Macaca fascicularis: one gene and its partner. The protein of the gene in region 1 interacts with the protein of each later gene in a biochemical or structural test. Links are inferred from orthologs where the notes say so. Each region holds a gene or a part of one and is shown in the gene's direction. Other genes may lie near its edges.

Region 1 (3,646 bases):
TGGCAGGTTGCCATGGTGCCTGGTGCCACTATTTGCATGCCATTGGTTCTTTCTGACCTGTAGAGCCTGTCCTCCTCAGGAGGCCACTCTCCAGATCAAAGGGCAAGTCTCCAAAATTATAGGAGCAAGGACGTGGCAACTTAAGAAAATATCCTGAGAACCGTGAGAACAGAGTGGCTTGGTGTGGTAAAGGCTTTCTCTCTGGTTCTCCTAGGCTCATTCTCAGGGTGGTGCCCATGCTGCTATTTCCTCCAATTCTGCATCCCCACTAGAATCAGAGCCATCAGTACTTGAGTATCTACTGAATAAAAGTTCCTGGTTGAGGCACTGTAATCCCCCCAAACTCTCTGCCCTCTTGGCTGCAGTGCAGTCCACAGTCCCCACCCCCGGCACTAAGTGTTGCTGCACCTCTCTACACCCACTCCTGCTGCTGCCCTGTGGTTGGTCTGTCCCCAGCATGAGCCCCTTACCCTCTCCCTCCTGTGTCCGAGTGCAGGGCGTTCTGCTCATCATTTGTCAGCTGTGACGACCATCCAGGATCTTCCTGGGGACCGAGGAAAGTGGGAAGTACAGGAAAGAGAGACTGAAAGTGTCAGGACTTCCAAAGCGAGCCAGATACTTGGTGTCAGGATGGACTGGACTAGGAGAGGCCTTTGGAAGGTGTTGGATTGTAAGGGTGAGCCTGAGAGGAAAAAGGATGATAAGTGCCTGGGAAAAGAGAGAGGAATACAAGGGAACACTTTTTGTTTGAGCCTCATTGAACCAGGAGATCTGCAGATGAAATTGAGAGGAGTAAGCAAGTTGGAAAGGGAAGCTTGCTAGATAGGCAAATGCTGAACTTGGTTTTAGGCACTCAGTTAAATGACAGTTGGCCTCCCAATCAGAGGTGTGATAACAGTCTTTTAGGGAACAAAAGACCGTGTGCAGAAGGCAAATGTCAACAGGGAAAGACACCTCTGAACATGGCTCAAAAGAAGGGTGGAGTTGGGAGATTGAGAAGGAGGCAGACATGGAACTTGGGGATATGGTTGTCCCCAGGGAGGGAGTTGGGGCATCTGTTGTCATGCCAAGGATCTGCAGTAGTGAGAAGTGAGGCTCAGGTGTCTTGGGTGCAGCCTGCACGGCAGCAGCCCTGAGGAGAAACACTGGGCCGGAGCCTCATGCATTGCAGTCGGCATGAAGTCAGATCCTCAGCAGGACTGAGAAAGGCTCTGCATCCCGTCATCTGGGTATTCCACAAACACTCTAGAATCATAATTCCCTCTTCAGATTGTTTCAGGTTCCCAAAAATAAAAAGTAGTTCTTTCATATTTCCCATTTATTTCCTGTCTGCAGTGTTCAGTACAGAAGTGTTTTGCTCTAATGTGCTGAGTTGTTTTTAATTATATGCCATGCTGGGTTTCAGACAGTGGAGAACTGCGTGTGCACCCTGAGGAACCTGTCCTATCGGCTAGAGCTGGAGGTGCCCCAGGCCCGGTTACTGGGACTGAACGAATTGGATGACTTACTAGGAAAAGAGTCTCCCAGCAAAGACTCTGAGCCAAGCTGCTGGGGGAAGAAGAAGAAAAAGAAAAAGAGGACTCCGCAAGAAGATCAAGTTAGCATTTTATCTGATATGAGACTCACGTTTCATTTTTCTGGGAGTGAGGAATCACATATTTGGCAAGAAAATAAATTTTCTGCATAGCTATAGCTGAGTCCCACAAAGGTGAATGTTTTCAAGTATTGAAGATCATGTTCATTCTGCCTCCATTTAACGTGTGCTATTTGTCTTTCAGTGGGATGGAGTTGGTCCTATCCCAGGATTGTCAAAGTCCCCCAAAGGGGTTGAGATGCTGTGGCACCCATCGGTGGTAAAACCATATCTGACTCTTCTAGCAGAAAGTTCCAACCCAGCCACCTTGGAAGGCTCTGCCGGGTCTCTCCAGAACCTCTCTGCTGGCAACTGGAAGGTAGGATGACTTCCGCGTATCTACACTTCTTTCCATCTTTCCAAATTAACTTGAAATGTTACATGTATAAGTTCTGCCTCAGTCAGATCAGCCCTGATGATGAAATGGTCACAGTTACTTAGTTTGTCTGTGAAGGGGGTAAAGGGAAAAAAGGGAGACATGCAGTTGCTCTGGGGATCCAAAGATAAATACAAGTCCCTCACTGTGAGAAACAGAAGGCTAGTGAGAAAAATAGATGGTGCCAGCACAGTGTAGAAGCCACAGGATGTGTGTGTTGTGGGGTCCTGAAAGAAGACATCTAACCCAGCCACACAGTGTAAGGGAAGGTCAGGAAAAATGCGGAGTGAGGACATGGAGGAGATTTCCTGAAGGGGATGCTGCCCAGCAGAATCTCTAAGGATGAATGAAAGTAAGCCAGTAGAGGCTGAGGCTGCAGTGTAGAGGGAGCCATCCAGATAACAGGGACAATAGGAGGAAAGTATCGCGGTGCAGAGAAGACAGTGTGGGCCAGGACTACTGGCTGCCCTCTGGGGCCCAGTGTGGAGCCAGGCATCATGGATAGGCCTGAAGGCCAAATTTCAGGAGCTGAGTCCTAACCTGCACACAGGAGGGGCTACTGAAAGAGTCTGGGCAAATGAGTGACAGAGACGGGCTAATGTCATCACTGCTCACCCACTTACATGGCAGTGCAAAAGGTGGATTCAAGGAAGGGAGAGTTAGAAGCAGGGATTGCATTTGGGAGCCAGTGCAGCAGTACAAACAGGTGAGAGATCTTGAGTGGCAGAACAGAACACAGGTTGGGCAGTGCTGTGGGGAGGGATAGAGGACCTCACTCTGTTCCTCTCAGGTAGTTACAGACATGCCTGTGTCTAAGGTTTCTGCATCTCTTTGCAGATGTATGACTATAAAAACTGAAGACAGTTTCCTCTTGTTACCACTGTAAGCAAGTTCTCAGAACTTTCTAAATGTCCCCCAGCAACTTCCCAGACAGTCCTTGTCTAAGACATTTTCAACCTCTAGAAATTTCCTGACAGGTGTATTTTGTAGAGTTATTACAATGCTTGCTTTTGGCTACTTATCCCACCTTAACCCCCCAAAATGAGAATCTTTTGGTGATAGTGTTTTCAAGATAGTGAAAAGAATTGATAAACCTAGGTATGGTTTGTTTCATGCAAGTGGCCACTATGTTGAATATAGACCGATAACTATGGTCTAGTGCTAAGCCAGTATGGTGATTTTGTTGTGGCTCCTAGTTAAAGTGCCAGTGACTCCATGTGTAAGTGCTGGCTCTGAATCCAGGCAACTCTGCTTACCGTCTGGCAGCCTAGAGGCTCTGCCCACAGTTTCCACCTCCCTAAAATAAAGCGAATATTAATACCTGCCTTATAAGGTGGTTGTGAGGATTTAGTGAGATACTCCCAGCACATAGGTATTTATATAAACATTTATGTTGTAGAACAGCCTTCACCTTCAGCTTCTGTGACCAGAAGATTATTTGATGACACTAAAAAAGACAATAATTGAAATCGATGTGATTTGAGTTGTTTCGAAGTTCGTGTCTGGGATCATTTAGTGAGAGTTAGATGGCAAGCTCATTTAAAATATAAACATTATATCTAAGCGATTTCAATAGTGAGTTAAAATATTGGACCTTCACTAAGAAAATGAGATAATCGTGGCCACAAGTGTTATCA
Region 2 (3,746 bases), on another chromosome or scaffold:
TTTATTTGCATATTCATTGATTCAGCAAACTTTTAATGGGTGCTGAGGGAGGTAGGCCCAAGCTATGTGCTGGGTACCGAGGCTGAGAAAACAAGGGACAGAGTGGTGGAAGATGGGCCTGGGACTGTGAAACAAACAGAAAGCACCAGCCCTCTTTGATCCTTCTAGAAGGATTTTTTGTGGTGTCCCAATGATACCTTTCATTGACAATGGTTACCATTTCATTGAGCACCTCCTAAGTACTGCGCTGAACAACTGTGTTACTGCTAGTTCTGGCAATCCTGCAGGATAGGTGTTTTCTCTATTTACACATAGGAAGAGAAGCTCTGAGTGCCTGAGAGTGCCCAGCTTGTCATATACGATGCTTGGATTTGTGCAAGCATTGATCTCAGTGGCCTGGTAATTATAAAAGCTGAAGAACAGCTGAAATCAAGAACTTCTCCACCCCAACCCCTGAGGACATTACCATCTCCAAATGCCTTGGGACCACTCGGGTCTCTGGTGTTGCGGGACAGCTCTGTCCGGTCTGTGCAGTTGATTTATGTCTGCCTGCTTTTCGGAGTCATTGCCTTGCTGGGCAGAACTGCAGCTGGGGCCTGCCCTGTCCCATCCCCATCCCCCCGAAAGCAAAGATTTCCAATTACTGTTCTGCAGAAAATGTCAAAAGCATTATTCAACTATTCATTATCCCGGTTTTGTAATTTTTCGTACGTTTTTACTCTTATCTGCCAGCACTTGAAAAAGACCAGCTTTTTCCTCTTAAGAGAGCTTAACTTGCAGAGCTGTGCAGTCTTCCTATTATGTTCTTACCATCCTCTCCCTGTGGTAGGCAGAATGACAAGGATGACAAAAAAAAGAACCAAAAATATTTGAAGGCCTTCCTGAAAATCCACCGGAATGAAGGATCCCAAAAGCCTGAGGCTCCGTTCCTCGAGTGACCTGGACGGCAGCCAAGGGCGGCTGGCATTAGCTCTCAAAGTCCACGCAGCAGGAGCTCGTGGCTAGTACTCATGGGACCAAAACCACCACCCCAGGGCCATGGGATTTCCCCCAGGGGCTTAACTGGGGGATTAAGCAGCTCTGAGGTGCCAAGAGGTCCCCTCTCCCCGAAATCCTCATACCAGTGCTAAATTACCTTTGGTATCCCAAGGACCAGAGGCTAAGGGTAGCTTCGGGTGAGTGGTTAGCTCTTCTCCCATCTCCTCTGGCCTCTCCGCCCCATTCTTTGATAAGGCAATTGACATTTTTCTTTTTGCTATGTAAAATGCTATGCAGAGGCAACTTCACATCCCCTAGCTCGCTCTGTTCCACCTAGATGGCGCCCTAAGCCCCTCCTGTATGGAGATTCGGAGCAGCCATCTCCCTGGATGTCTTCCTCCCAAGATCCCCAGGTTTCTGAAACCGGCGCACCAGGACTCCTGGCTCACCCAGAGAGACTCCTTGCCCGCGACGGGGCTCGCTCGGGGAAATCCCCGCCCACCTTGTTATTCCTGCAGGGGAATCCCCGCCCCCCGTCCCTGTCACTCCGGGAAGGGAGTTCCCGCCCCTCGAATCAACCAGAGGGAGGGAATCCCCGCCCATCCCGGAGGCGCGGCGGATCCCTTGCGCAGCGCGGCGAGGAGTGGACTCCAGCGCCGGTGCGTGCCGGCCCAGGGCAGCGGGACGCGGCGGGGCGGCGGCTGCAGGCAGCGGAGGAGCCGCAGGCCGAGCCCAGGGCACCGGGATTGCGCCTCCCGCGGCTGCCGGCGAACCGCGGCTTTGCAGCTCGGGGCAGGCGCGGCGGCGGCACCGGTGGTGGCCGCGGTGGCGGCAGCTGCGCGGGGACCCGCCGGGTGGCGCCTGGGTCTGGACGTGCGAGGAAGCCGCGGGAGCCTCGGCCGAGCCGCGAGCAGGTGAAGCGACCGTCCCGCTGCAGCCGGGACGCGCCGGCTCCGGGTGGGCAGGGGATGGGGGAGGCTGGGCACCCCCGAGACCGTGTGTGCCCAGGAAAGTTTAGCGACAAATCTGGGTGCGGGAATCCCAGCCCTAGCAGGGCGAGGAGTGAGGACGCCGAACCGGGGTCCCACGTTGGGCGGCGCAAACTCCTCTAGCATCCGGCCGGGGACGGGGAGAGCGCAGCGCAGGGGAGGGGGCTGGACAGAGCGGGACCGAGACAGCGGGACACCCGGAGACTCATTGTACCCAGGACAGGGCCGGGAGCTCCTGCACGGGCGCGCATCCCGGGTCCCCATCCCTGGGCCGTCTTCTGGTCCCCTCTTCCGGCAGGAGCGGAGGTACTCAGGTACTCCGGCCTCAGGTAATGTCTTGGGGACCATCCTACCTCGGGCGTGTTTCATCTCTCGCCCCCTCTCTGCCCAGATGAGACATTAGACGCGGGGCGGGGGAGTGCAGAGGGCGCGCAAAGAGCAAGGGCATCTTAGGGCCGGTTATTGGCGTCTGCCGGGGAGATGGGGAACATAATGATAGGGAAATCCTGCCCTCTCTCTGAAGTCGAGTTTCTCCTAAAACCTGGTTTCCCCCTCCCTGTCTTCCTCTCTCCCTCCCTCGGGTTTGCGTTTGTGTTTTAAGTCTTTGAGCTGCCTGTGGTCCCCGCTATTTGGAAAATCCATGAAAGCGCAAGGCTGAATTGAGCAGCAGGAGGGTCCAGGACCCCTGGCAGGAATTTGCCAGAAGCTGTCCTCGGCAGCCCAAATCTATGCAGAGACCTTGATAAGGGACACTGGAGTGGGAGGAGGACAAGGTCTGGCATGGGCTGGTCGCAGAGACTGGAATGGCAGGCACGAGGGCATTCCAGAGCTCCAGACCTGCCCTGGGACTGGCGGTTGGGCAGTGTTGGGGGATGGAGCTGAGTCTGAGTCTGTCCTCTGCAGCTGGCTGGCCCAACCTCTTGCCTCCACCAAAGGTAGGGTAGGTGGATATGTTTGCCTTGACAAATCGCAATGAAACTACTGGAAGTGGTTGCTGAGTGGCTGCAGTAAGTGATGCCCTGATCTGTCCTTGCAGAGAGACCCCCTGGACCTTCAGGGCCTCTTCTCTAGTGGGGTCTCCCACACTGGAGGGCTTTAGGGGCCTGGCATCTCTACTGGGCCAGCTTTTGTGGGTTGTGACTTCTGGGTGGCCGCCAGATAGGTGCAGGTTGGCAGGTGTGGAGTGGGAGTGCTGCTTGTGGGGGCAGAAGAGAATGTTTCAGAACACACCCCTGGCTGTAGGTGGTGGTTCTGGCTTCATCAATTCCTTCTTCCATTAGGATGGGTCCAGAGCTGCTGCTCCTATAATAACCATCTAGTGGTGTGAGTGAGTGAGTGTGTGTGTGTGTTGTGGGGGTTAGGTGTAGGAGTAGGGGGCTGTCAGGTGCTATGAGAGGAAGAATCAGAACCATGTAAAGTATATAAATGCACCTACCTTGACATAGTTAATATGCTTCTGGAAAAATATTGAATTATACTTTAAATCTATCACTGAAATGGATTTTGCATGCACTTTATGGCAGTTTACTATTTAAGGAAACATGATAATTGCTCTATTCATTTCAATCATTTTATTTTTGGAATACCTGTGGTTTGCTGTGCTGGAGGCTGAGGAGGCTTTGAGGTTCCAGGATATGCTTAGATGAAAGACGTTCCCTTGCTGCTGTCAGTCTGTCAGTGTCCGTCCAGCAGGAGAAGGGCGAGAAACCTGCTGAGCACTATGGTGCAGACCAGTGCACAGGCTGCATGTAGTAGACGCCCTGTGTTTATTGGATGAGG

The links. The genes of interacting proteins can lie anywhere in the genome.
Region 2: the proteins of PKP4 (region 1) and PDZD2 form a complex in vitro, tested with the Homo sapiens proteins (2 studies listed by BioGRID and IntAct, with this or other methods). The link is inferred for Macaca fascicularis from reciprocal best matches to the Homo sapiens genes PKP4 and PDZD2.

Annotation. Positions count from the first base shown.
Region 1 is NC_088386.1:54,135,066-54,138,711, forward strand, and holds part of PKP4 (plakophilin-4), read left to right. Parts: intron 1-1,405; coding exon 1,406-1,597; intron 1,598-1,778; coding exon 1,779-1,952; intron 1,953-3,646. UniProt on the Homo sapiens protein: Plays a role as a regulator of Rho activity during cytokinesis. May play a role in junctional plaques.
Region 2 is NC_088380.1:32,238,296-32,242,041, forward strand, and holds the start of PDZD2 (PDZ domain-containing protein 2), read left to right. Parts: upstream 1-1,304; 5' UTR 1,305-1,338; coding exon 1,339-1,892; intron 1,893-3,746.